Lytechinus pictus: one gene and its partner. The protein of the gene in region 1 purifies or fractionates together with the protein of each later gene. This does not show direct contact. Links are inferred from orthologs where the notes say so. Each region holds a gene or a part of one and is shown on either strand. Other genes may lie near its edges.

Region 1 (7,101 bases):
TTCCGAAGACTTGCCGTCTTTCCATGAATTTGTAATGACATTACTAAAGCCAGGCACACAGCCGATATGGGAGACTGTCACCAAGTTTATTTATCTTCAATATATATATCAGTGAGACAAAAGTTTTGTAGGGAATAACTGCCTTGGCATTAATGTTGTTTCTTTTATCCTTTTGCACAGCAAGTCTCCAATATTGGAAATTGTCTCCCATGTTGGCCGGGAGTCTCCAACATTATTAGCCGTACGTCTCTTACAAGTTACTGGATGCATAGGAGGTGTCACCAACAGCAGTCCACCCGGGCCCTGTGGGTTCATTGCATTAGCCATGTGTGTGAAAATCAAGGATTTTACCTTATTTATTTCATTACATTAATTCTTTTACCAAATAATATGAACCCCTTTTTCCACCTCGTTATCCTTGTGTGAAATTTTTTTGATTATTTTTCGTTTTTTTCATTGAGTGAAGCGGTGAAGCCATTGCAATTTATCACAGACCAACATTTTCACCAATAGAGGGAGCACAATTTATATTTATATCAAAGACAATACAAGGGAAAGATGAGGTACTCAAACTATTTTACACACAAATCAATGTAAAGCATTACGCTAAGTTGATCAAGTGTCTAGTCTTCCTAATTGTAGAGTCTTTCATTCACACTGTTATCTTTTTATAAAGAATCAAAGCTTGTAGAGTCTACTGCTGCATGGGGGGGGGGTGAAGGGGCTGTGCCACCTCTCTATTGGGGGTGCGAAAAATAGAAAAAAAGGAAGAAAAAAAAAAGAAAAAGGAAAGGAGAGGAGAAAAAAGAGGGAAAATAAGAGGGAGACGAGTGACTGAAATAAGGTGAAGTGATGACTTGGAAACAGAACAATCTTTCATGTCCCCAAGGGCCAAGGCTATACTGTATCCGAAATCACCTTTGAACTTTGCTCACCAGGTTCTTTCACAAAAATATATTGCGATTCAACACATCCTCACGTGCACTCATTCCTCAGTCTACTCACGTTTTCACAATCTCTGCTCTCGGTCATCTGACAAACTTAATTAGAAATAAAATAAGAATCAACTCAATTTGAAATTACCTTCAAGTCTTGGTCTTGGCCTTTATTTACACTAAACTGGAGCAGTGGTTACACAAATATCTGCTCCCAATCGATTATCTTCTGACTTCAGAGCTAGGGCGAAACAACCAAAAATACAGGAGCCAAACTACAACCACTCCTCACAGTACGAGAGCTACACAACAACTGCACCCATCGAGGGCCAAACTTCAACTAACTAACCCCCTCCTTCAAGTGTAAGTGTAGGGGAGTCCCTAAACACATGAGTGCACAAGGCACTCTTACATAAAGATACACACATGTAGTGTACACAGAGAGACTGCACTACTGTGCATAGGGAAGATGGGGATAGTAGGAGAGAGATAGACACAGAGAGAGAGAGAAGAATAACAGAGGTAGTCTACTACCAGACTCTAAATAGGCAGTTTTGTTACAATACTATATACCCTATTTGCTCGCTCTTAGCACTCGCAAGCCATGACATTACCCAGTGTTCGATGTTTTGCGCACTGCGTTTCTTGTGTTGACTAATAAATTCATCATTTCCTGATGAAGCCCTATGGGCGAAAATTCGATCTAATTTTTTTCTCTACTACGGTTTGTTTTATTCACCTTAATTTGTATTTTGTTCGATGAGATACGTATCTTGCTCAATAGGCAGTGAAATGGAGCTAAAACTATCCAGTTTTGAAGTCATTATGAAAAAATATTGGAAAATATTTCAGCTCGGACATCGAGCTTTCATTTTGATTGACTATGAATTGATAAAAAAAAAGTGATTCTGTCTTTTTTTTCTGAACCAGTGAGCGGCAGTGATGACTGTTTGAGCAGTAGAGTTGCACGGCCAATATGGGAGACTCTCTCCAATAGGGGAGACAATCTCCCACATTGGAGACTTGCTTTGCAAAAGGACAAAAGAAACAACACCAACAAAAGCATGATTTTTTCCACCCAAAATTTTGTCTCACTGAGGTCAGAATTGTAGAAGCCCATTTGTTTTGTGTGTGATTGACAACAAAAATCCTTATCAAAACAAAGGTAGACGGTGAATTTTTAAACTAAAAGTAGACGGTGAAAAGGGGTAGGCCTAATTACTAATTTTTCATGAGGAATCTGTTTATCTCATTTTTATTTGCCGCCAAGGTAATCCTTTTGCAGCAAATGTAAACAAAGGAAATTGGTCTCCAAAACTGGAGACTGTCTCTGAAATTGGATACCCAAATTCTTTACAAGAGTCTCTGATATTGGAGATAATCTCCCACATTGGAGACAGTCTCCAATATTGGCCGTGCGCCTCTACTGTTGAGTGGCTGGCTAGCTGCAGCTTTATTCTAGTTTAAAATCATGAAAACTGATGAAATAAACACTCTACAGCAACGTTTGGACTGGTGGTTTATTTCACAATAATGCTACTAGTACTACATATGTATTACATTTGAAAATGAGAGATTTGCCATTGTATAATTCGCAACAAACTTCGACCAGTAGCCGAGCAGGCATACCCGGAAGTTGGCAACCACCGGTCATGACGCTTAATTCACACGGGTAGTCCCCCGTTGTTTTAACTCAAAGACACGGCCAGCGCCCCAGCTTGGCTCGTCTTGGTCGGTCGTTTCCGCAATCGGAAAATTCACACACCTGTTCCTCTTTCAAACAGGAAAACGAATATCTCATTACCTTTGAATTTAATGATACTTACCAGTCTGTCGGTTTTTTGTCGTCACAGACATCTTTGTATGCCTGCATCAAAGCATCTCGGTGTTTTACAAAACTTATCGACATTTTGCATTTAAATTCTCTTCTTCCTCGAGCTCGATCCCCCTTCAATCCTGTAATATTTTACACGCAGATGGCGCTCGCCGTCGACACGAGCAGGAGAATGGGAGTAATCAACTTCAACCTCTTCATCATCCTCCCTCAGTCACTTTTCCCTATCCCCCATTCTCTACTTCATCGCTCATTTACCCCCCACCCCGAACCGTTTCCTTTCTCTGTCCACAGGTATGTTTTGCTTTTTGGGGAGTTTTGTTATCTTGGGACTTTTTTTTATGTAGGCCTACTAGATACGTGTTTGGTTTATTTCTTAATGGGAAAGGAGGGAGGGTGGGGCCATGAGGGAGAATTATTTCAATTAAGTTCCTGATTTGACTGAATATATCCTGGGACAAAAAAAATGCTCACTATTCTTGCCAATGTGTTAAATATACAATTGCAAGAAGGGTGGGGTGTGTGTGTGTGGGGGGGGGGGGGAAATTGGAATTTAATATGCCTCTAAATCCTAAGGGGAGGGGATGTGCATCATGAATTAGAGTTCTGTGTATTTTAACAATTTCTATATTAGCAAAACATAGGCGAAAAGAATAAAGTAACATTTTTTGTCATGTGCTTACTGCTCCAACGTTTCACTCTCTCAGTGCCCCATCCCCACAGGATTTTTCAATTAGTACATGTATGCATAATTTGAGGGAAACTAGAGTCAAGGGAGACCGTAATGTAATACCTTTGGTTTTGTTGATGTAACATTATGAGACGTACCCCACAATTTTTTTGCATTCCATGTCCTTGTTCTCTCTCTCTCTCTCTCCATTCCTTTCTCTTCCTCTCTTACCTAATTCTTTGAGAACCCCCCCCCCCCAACCTCTCTCTCTCAAATTGCCCAGGGCATGCTTCTGCTGTTTTTCTTATTCTGTTATCTTTTTTTTCAAAGCCATTTTGAATTATCAATGAATAGGCTAGGATGGCCAGCAAGACGATGGATGGCAATAATTGATAGGCCAACATGTGTTTTGATTTCTGGTCGTAATAAATCAAATCTTATATAAGTATGTTACAGACCTATTGCTCTGCTGGCCATTCTGTGCTTTTGTCAAAATGTTTAAGTTAACATAGCTGATCTCTCTCTCTCTCTCTGTGTCTTCAAGTAGTTGCAAATGAAAGAGAAAGTCTCAGCCTAATCTGACAATGATTATCTTCACAAACGATAAGCATACAGAATGAATTTATCTATTTCTTTAAGAATTTAACCCTGAAAATAGTCAGCATTTCATGGATACAGGAAAAAATTAAAGGCCTTTTAGCTCTACGGTGTAAATAGTGTTAAATGTGACTTAAAATCATGCACGCACATGATATGTAACACGCAATCTTATTGATTGATACCATAGGATTAATACACACTAGTGTGCATACCCTTGGTATGATTTGACCAATGCGATGATGCTTTATATACCGAAAAAAAGTGAGGATAATGAGACACAATTAACTCTTTTGGAAACAATCCTATAGATATAGAATGTGCCATGATTGAACAAGAGAAATATGGTCTATTCCAATATATGCATGTCAATTTCAGCCACGGGTACCTAAATGTGAGTAGACTGGACTCTGGCTTTTTACAACCACAACAAAATATTTACTCAACACAAATACAGGATTTGTTCATTATTTTTATCAGCAGCTTATATTTACAAAATAACATTGTGGTTTCTTCCATAGGAACATGGTTCATCTAACAAAAGAATGTGAGTAGAAAGTCACTTTATACAATATACATTTGACAGTCATGATTCTTTAAGTATTTGACACAAATAACAGAAAAAATAATATGGAATATTGACAAAAATATTACCATTCATGGAAAACAAAAATTTTGGAAAAAGTTAGGTTGTGTAAAAAAAAAGATAAATCTGTAAGATTTTGATGAAGGTTTGTGAAAAAATGGACAAGAAATGTAAGTTATTGAGCATTTGAATGTACAAAACACTAATGTTATGGAGATTGTCCCATAGGCTTTTCATAGTATTCTTGGATCAGCACCAAAATAGTCTTTCATTAATCAATTACTACAGACCAAGCAGGTCTTTGTACTCATCCACTTCTGGCTTCCTTGTTATTCCAAAAGTTTCAAAAACCTGGGGGGAAAGATCATTTGCTTTTGCATGCCCCACTTTGTGGAATAGCCTTCATGAAGACATAAAAAAATGTACCTCTGTCGAAACTTTCAAAAATCTTCTAAAAAACTTTTTTATTTAACACTTAGCTCTTTATGCGCCTTGAGCACTCTACAGAGAGGATTTGGCGCTTTATAAGTCACATTATCATTAGGCAATATAATGCAACCAAGATGTGCGCTGTTACACAAACAACTTTCCCTTTTGAAGGATTCAAAAATACATAAAACATAAACAACTCTATTTCGCTCTCTCGAATGAGAGTACAAATTCTAGATTTTGTGAAGCCTGTATTACATGTCCTTTCTCGAAAAAGAACACCTATTTACTGGAAGACTTAACCCTTATAGTGGGGGGGGGGGGGGCAAAAACACCCCCTCCTCAGATCTCGGCCATTGATCACGCGATTGTGACAAAAATTGTCACACACATCATCTATGATGTAACCTCCACAATTAAATTGTCAATTGAATTAATCAATTATGCTAATTAATGCATTAAAACATAAACTGGCTGTTAATCTTAAAATATAGCCCGAAACTGCTAGATTTTGGTCTTGACACTCTTCTTATGATTACTTTAAAAAAAAAGTTTTTTCTTATGTATTTCATTGCTTATTTAATTTCTTATGCATTTCTCTGTTTATTTTACTTTATGGTTTTCATTGTTGTTTTTATGGAAACTATTGGCAACACTTTTTCAGTCATAAATAACATGAAATCAATTACTTTTAATCAGTACAAATAACAAGTGGAACGCCTCTGGCAGTCTCGCCTGCATTATGCGATTTGATATACCAGCAGTGCTGACTTTGAAAACAGCTATCAAATAATTATTCATAAAAGAAAACACTCATATGATAATAAAATACAATGTCCATTTACCCAACATGACCTTTGAACATGATCATATGACCTCAGACATGTGCAAAACAACTTGAATATCCCTTATATCTATGTTTCATAAACTGTGTAGATCTATAAACTTTTTAAGTGATGATGCCAATTCAACCAATACCCCCAACATGGCCAAAGTTCATTGACCCTAAATGACCTTTGATTTTGGTCATGTGACCTGAAACAAGCACAAGATATTCAGGGATACATGGTTACTCTTATGTCCCAAGTTTCTATGAACTAGATCTATCAAATTTTAAAGTTATGATGACAATTCCACAAATACCCCCAACATTATCAAAGTTCGTTGACCCTAAATGACCTTTGACCTTGGTCATATGACCTGAAAATCGCACAGGATATTCAGGGATACACTATCATCTTTATATCCAAGTTTCATGAACTAGGTCCATATACATTCAAAGTTATGACGACATTTCAAAAACTTAACCTTGGTTAAGATTTTTACATTGATTCCCCCAACATGGTCTAAGTTCATTGACCCTAAACGACCTTTGACCTTGGACATGTGACCTGAAACTCCCGCAGGATGTTCAGTAATACTTGATTACCCTTATGTCCAAGTTTTATGAACTAGGTCCATATACTTTCTAAGTTATGATGACATTTCAAAAACTTAACCTTGGTTAAGATTTCAATGTTGACGACGTCGCCGCCGTTGGAAAAGCGGCGCCTACAGTCTCGCTCTGCTATGCAGGCGAGACAAAAATGATGATATATTTATGAATTTTGGCTACATCCATAATTTGCATTGGATTTGTACATGAACTCATGTTTTTAATATTGGGTCTGACATACATTTACACAATTCTAAGTAACTTCAGAACGGTGTAACCCCGCATCGAGAAAGTTAAAAAGTTGCACGAGACTTGAAGGAAAAAAGTCATGAAACTTTAGGGCGTGATCTTTTCGCGTTACAGATTTATCGTAAAAAATGTTGAGGGGGGAGGGGCCTGATTTAGATAGATAGAGTAGATAAAAGAAACCTTTTTTTTTAATGAAATGAAGGATATCAGAATGATCAGAATGGCCCTGTATTCTTCTCTCATTCTTGATATATTATAAATACATTGGAGCTTGGCCTTCTAACACAAAATGATTAAGCAATGGGGAATTGTGTTGCCTTCACATAAATTTTGACTGTATTACAATTCTCTGGTGATGCATATTGG
Region 2 (6,837 bases), on another chromosome or scaffold:
AACTGAAGTCTGTAGAATCATGAACAGATAAGCACACATGGGACTGTGTATGATTACCGGTACTTTTTTGGTAATAGACAATGCTTTGCAAAATTCTCAACAATAACACAATTATTTCCGGAATCCTTTGGCACATATTTTTTTAATTATATTCATATAGCCAAACACTTGGGTTGTCATTTTATTGGATGCCTATGAACTCATTTTGAAACCGTTACCATAACTGGCATTTATCTTTAAGCTTTTCTGTATTTATGTGTACTATTGGTTGCTATGTTAAGGCAGTGTTTCCACAGATCAAAAACAAATTTCCCGAAACTGAATCTCAAATTTCCTGAAATTCATAGACATTTCCTGGAATTTTCAAATTTTATTTTTCAACCAAAATTGGACAATAAGAAAGCGAGCCTGAACTTGGTCCAAGTGACCGAAATCAAGGAATTCAACCTTTTTTGTTGAATGCACTTTTTACAAGTACGGTAGCAACAAAATGCAAGCGCGGAGAGCGAGCAGAAAATTTTGAGCTATGAATGAGGCAAACAATTCTTTGAATTATATAACATGAATATTGAAAGTTGTTACGTTTAATGGAAGTTTAATTTTCTGATTTCCAAGAATTTTTTCATTTCCCGAAAATTACCTGAAAGTGATCCAGAATTCGGGAATTTCCTTCAAAGTGGAAACACTGTGTTTAGGGTTAATTGGGTTTGATTGTCCTGAGAGTGTGTAAATTAATCATGTCAGACATCTTGAAAACTACATATAGCCTTGTTATACATGTCATTTTTAAAGTTTAACTGATTTGTCCTAGATTTCTTTTTGTAGATTTGCCAAAAACCATTAAAAATATATTGAATATGTTAGGAAACCATAGTCTTGTAATGCAAAACATGCAATCAATTTTTTTATGACATGAAATGTAATTCGTTGTAACTTTGTAAGTCTATATTAGACTGAAAGTGTTGCATTTATTCATAACACTAATTTATCTCATCTCAGAGGGTACATGAAAATACAATGAACAAATATCAGAGACTTGACACTTCATTGAAATGAAGTGAGAATTGAACAAAAATTGGGGTCCAGGGAATAATTTTGCTTTACAAATTTGAATAGCATTTTTGGTCAGAAGAGAAAAGCTCTCAACTAAGTAATGTACAGTTCTATGTAAAAATATGCTATACAAAAGACTTTATGCATAGCAGTCTTTCAAAAATGGAGCAAATTGCGATGCGATACCAGGAAATTTATTCCCTGGGGTCAGATTTACAAATGGATTGATTATTTTATGGGATTGGCCTTCAGGAAAATAATAATAATCATAGCAGGAATCCCAACTATCCAGTTGGATTGAACAGGTTTTGGACCAAAGATATTAACCATGTCATATCAGTGCCCTGATTGAAATCAGTACAATTAAAATCTACAATTGATATTAACTTGTAATCAGGGGTGTGAGAGTTCAGATTTTTATCTGATTTCAGATTTTTTTGTTTTGATTTTCAGCTTAATTTCAGCTTATTTTTGGCCTTCCTCTGTACAAAAAGTATGGGAGCTCTTTCTATTTCAGACTTTTTCAACACTCTTCAGCATTTTTCAGATCTTTTTATTTGTGACCACTCACACCCCTGCTTGTAATGTGGTTTACAAAAGACTAAAGTTATAATTAATTGCACAATTGCTTGTATCTTGAATTTTATTGGGCCCTGGAATGTGTGCATAGGATAGAGAAATTAAAGGAGAATGAAACCCTTGAAACCAGCTGAATCCACATCAAAGAGACAAATCAAAGAAACATATTGTTGAAAGTTTGAGGAAGATTGAATGAATAATAAGAAAGTTATGAGCATTTGAATATTGAGATCACTAATGCCATGTAGATCCTCCTATTGGCAATGCGACCAAGATCTGTGATGTCACACACGTACAACTCCCTCATTACTTTAGTACTTATTTCACTTATATTTTCACTTTTATGGAGTCTATCACAAGGTGAGGTGTTCTCTTTATGAGAGGACAAGTACAGAGGTTTCACAACATTATATCATTGATGAATCGTTTGTCATATGATTAGAATGAGTAAAAAGAGATGTTTTGGGGTATATTTTCAGTGTCCAAAAGGGGAGAGTTGTTCATCTGTGACATAATAGATCTTGGTCGCATTGCCAATGGGAGGATCTCCATAGCATTAGTGATCTCGACATTCAAATGCTCATAACTCTTCTATTGCTAGTCCTATTTAACTCAAACTTTTGTTGATCTTATTCTTTGATTTTTCTGCTTTCACAAAAGCTAACTTGCTCCAAGAGTTTCATTCTCCTTTAAGTTAATTTGTTACTCCAGAGTAGCCCACCGTGATTAATGTCAGAAAATACTGGAAATCATGAAAATTAAAATCTAGATAGATTAGTGACTGCTTTTTTGGAATTGGATCAATTTTGATCACCATTAACTTCAATTTTTTCCAATTGTCTATATTTTTTAAACGAGGTTAAGATTTTTTACTAACCAACTTGGAATACTGGTAATGAGATATAAGTAATATTTTCATATGGTCATAAAATGGAGAAAGCACTTGGGGGGGGGGGGGGTATTTGTATACAAATCAAGTACCGGTAATAGAGTTTTCTCGATATTGATAAAGTATGCATATACTAATCATAATGATTAAAATTGAATTTCTATAATCGTTTTTTAATATTCATCCAGTATATTACAAAATTTTATCTGTTTTGTTAATCATATTTTCTGCTTTCATGCAGATATCTTGTTCTAAGGGTTTTATTAGCCTGTTGTGTGCACAGAAGAGAATAAAAAAAAATGTATGGTCGGAGGATTTATATTAATGTTGATGTTCTCATTAAAATGAGCTATATACCTGAATCCCCCTTGTCTTATTTTGTTTTCTTTGAATAAAATTACTTCTACTACTACTTTACTATTGCTACTTGCCTATTGTCTTTACTACTACTGATCACAAAACTCTAGCCTGAAATTAATATGAACTGAATATAATTATAACGGTAAACAAGAGCAATTTGTAGATGTTTTGCAGTGTACTGTATTTTGTAAACTGAAACATGTTTTTTTTTCCAAGCTTTTTCCTCCTCGTTTCTGAAAAGTGTTCAGGTTCTTCCCGATTGTGGTATTTTAACCAAAGACGTCTGGTTAAAATACCACAATCAGGAAGAACCAAAGACGTCTTTGGTTAAAATACCACAATCGGGGGGCATGCAATACCCATGAATATAGTTTTGTTTAAGTAGATAAAACTTGTTTAGGGGTCATTATTTCTGGCGACAACTTGTTTAGGGGCCAAAATGTGTAAATGAAGCTCGCGAAACACTTGTCTAGGGGGTTATTTTGCACACTGAAAAAAACTTGTTTAGGGGGTGTTTGGAAATAATTTGGTCATGCATGTGTACAGCAATACATTTTACTTACATGTAAAATCATTGGAGAGAAAAAAAAGATCACGGGGCTTGTCCGGGAATCGAACCCGGGGCCTCTCGCACCCAAAGCGAGAATCATGCCACTAGACCAACAAGCCTCAGCTGATGAAGGGTGGAGATTTATAAATTATATAGGACATGCTTGGCCATGTTCGTTGTGATATTGGACTAGTCCATTTTTCGATAGGATTCTGAAATTATTCAATCAAAATTGTTCAATGATCAGATAATCATGCTTCAAATTCAAGTATTTCCTCAATTTTTTGAAAACTAAGAAATTCGACAACACGATAAAATTTTCAATGAAAGGTGTTTATGGACTCCCTTATTATTACATTTATTATATTCAAATGGCCGAACCCAGCCCTTACTCATGAATATTCATCATGGATATCGCCGGTGAAAACATGGCGAGCCATCGGAGAATCCATCCATTTCACAACAAATGTGGATCCTTAATTTCATTGAGTGATGACGACAAAACAGCAAGACGAAATGACTCCAGACAAGAATTCAATAACGGGCTAGTATTTAGCAAGAGACCTCTGAAAGACGATGAGATTTATGAAGTCAGAATTGATGAGAAGGTGAGTAACCAATAAAGATCTCGAGATCGCTTGGATCGAGCCTCCATTCGGAACAGTGGCAGTTTCACAGCCGGGCTCCGTACGGTACGCTACGAACTCCGCTCCGGGGACGATGGTGCATTGTCAATGATCCCGATGGCAGGGGCAGGGCCGTGACCAATTGGGCGCTATTGCACTTTCGCATCTGGCAATGTTAACAAATTAATTTCACCTAAAAACTTTTGTTCAAATTTATTCCCAAATTATCTAATCTGCTCGACCCTTAACCGGCGCGCTTTATATCCAGTTGTTGTGTCCGGACCACTCACACTAGTCTAGTCACGTATTGCGAGGTAAATATCATTTGCTATACGAACCTCGCACAACCACCGTGTTTTTGTAGTGGATTTTAGAGTTGTCGTTAACATCGCATCATAACGTGAATGATGTTAGCCGAAACCCACTCCGCTACTCACCAGGGCTTTTTCTGGTATAAAGCGTTCCATTTTCAATTTTTAACATATTTTTTTTATTTAAAAGAACACAAAAAAGAGCACAATCGCTTACCTATGCCTGGAAAGTGGCTTCGCACGTCTCTTCCACGGAAATGAAAAAGAAGGTCGTTGGTGGCGCTAATACAGTTCACAACCTTAATTCAGCTTGGTGGTTTTTTTTAAACTAGATTCATGATTCATTGTATGCGCAATTCCAATAATTGTTTGATAAAATAGAGACCCCAATAAATGCAATAACTTAAAAAACATACTTTTTTATTATTTTTGCTGACGATAATACTTTTTGGAAAATATTCAAAACGATGACAAATTTAACAAAAAATATAGAAAATTCTATGTACCTTGAACAAAGCCCCGCAAGTGCTACCGTTCGTTTGTCAATTAACGTTCCACCAAAGTCTTTACAGTAAAAAGATTGAACACTTTGCCAACTTTGCGTAACGCTTTGCATCGATTTACGTGTAAGATAATTTTTGTGTCTAGTCTTTCCCTTGTAGTGTCTTTGATATGAAGATAAATCGCGCGCCCTCTTTCGCTCATTAGACGAAAAATTTGAGAGCTAGAAAGGTGGCTTTCGTATTTTGTCAACGAGAAGAAAAATCAACGCTTAAATGACGCATTTTGAGGGATATTCATCAAATTATGAGGAATTGACTTCACATCGTTAAGTAACTTTCTACTAGGCCTAGGAGGACTTCATTCTGTAAGTCCTCGTATTCATTTTTCAGAAAATAACGTTATTTGTTGAATGCGCCGTGCCTTCAATTATTCTGTAGTCGGCGGCTGAGATGTAGCCATGGGTGTGTCCGGACAGGTTATGGATGTGTGTCCGGACGATCAATTTTAGAAAGTCATTTGCCATTTGGAAAACTTTACAAGCGAAGTTTCATCAATTTTTAGTATAAAATGTGAGGAAATATATTATGGAGAACAAAATAGAAGATGATTACAACTATTTAATTCACATTTTTACTGTAATCCAAAGACCAAAGACAAAAAAGAAGGCTTCAAAAAAAAGTGTCCGGACAGGCGGACACCCGACCCCCCATCCTACCGTATCATCGTACGCAGTTGGGCACCGCACCGACCGACTTCAAGAAAAATAATGTCCCCAGCATCATTAACCCAGGGAGCTCCGACCCGCTTTGCGGGCCGGAGCCCAGGAGTCGACCGTGCAAAACAAGGGATACATGAGACTGGGGTAGTCTTGAGGACTCCATGTCCATGATGATGTTTTAAAGGCCATTGAAACTCGATGTTGAGTTTCCCGTCCCATATTTTCCAGCTCATAATGAGGAACCGATTTCATTATTTTCCAGAAGATGAAAGTTTGACCTTTTGTAATACCTTTTAACGCACTTTTATTTCTTAATTTGGACATTTTCTGCAATACACTCAATAAATATGTAATATCTCGACATATACACTGTTTATATCTTCATTTGAGTTATGTTTGAAATGGAGTGGATTGTATTGCTGTTTCATAATTGTAGATCTAAGGTAGATCTTGGTAGTGGTAGGGGATACGTCACATATTAATACACAACACAGATTCTTTGCTTGGATGTCCCTTTAATATTCCTTCTCACTGAGAAATAAATTAGATTTTTGGCATTTTGTATTTAAAGTATTGTAAGTATAGTACAATAAATGAAATAGGAAATTTAAATCAGACAAACATGGATCTAAACATGAATAAATCCATGTATATTTTATCAATAGACAATATCGAGATTCTGCCTGCACCGTACACGTATCGTACATGTACGTACATGCGTACTATCGCTGTTGCATGCGTGATTTGTTCAAAACACGTACTGACCATGTAAATCTTCGTGCATACTTGCTGGAGCGCGGCACGGGCACATTGCTGCATGGCCATGGCTGGGTTGATTCTACGAGTTTGACTATGGTTGAGCATGCAGTGTCATTCCATTCACAAGAAAAAAAAAAGATTTACAGGTATTTACAAGATATACAAATAATTGTGTGAGTGAAAAGCTTATATAAATGTTTTATATCAGTTTTGAATCTAGATCTATGTCAAAATAGTAAAATAATGAATTATTTTCAGAATTTGATTTTCAAACGCGAGCCAAATTTAATAACGTGGGCGGGCGACGGGAAACTCAACATCGAGTTTCAGCGGCCTTGCTATTTAGACATATACTTCTTCATCATTGGAGTCTTGAACCCCCGGTCATATATGTACATGTATAAGAGACTGACCAAAACAAAGATGGATTTCCCTAGGAAATCCATCTTTTAATATAAAAATCACGTAAATTGTGTTGATTTTATTTA

What was found.
Region 2: the proteins of drebrin-like protein A (region 1) and neuralized-like protein 4 purify together in Homo sapiens (co-immunoprecipitation; 4 studies listed by BioGRID and IntAct, counting the BioPlex papers as one, with this or other methods). This does not show direct contact. The link is inferred for Lytechinus pictus from reciprocal best matches to the Homo sapiens genes DBNL and NEURL4.

What each region holds. Positions count from the first base shown.
Region 1 is NC_087256.1:7,119,296-7,126,396, reverse strand, and holds the start of drebrin-like protein A, read right to left. Parts: upstream 3,018-7,101; 5' UTR 2,845-3,017; coding exon 2,762-2,844; intron 1,282-2,761; exon of another isoform or gene 1,084-1,281; intron 1-1,083. UniProt on the Homo sapiens protein: Adapter protein that binds F-actin and DNM1, and thereby plays a role in receptor-mediated endocytosis.
Region 2 is NC_087258.1:4,750,907-4,757,743, reverse strand, and holds the start of neuralized-like protein 4, read left to right. Parts: upstream 1-3,834; 5' UTR 3,835-3,838; coding exon 3,839-4,039; intron 4,040-6,837. UniProt on the Homo sapiens protein: Promotes CCP110 ubiquitination and proteasome-dependent degradation. By counteracting accumulation of CP110, maintains normal centriolar homeostasis and preventing formation of ectopic microtubular organizing centers.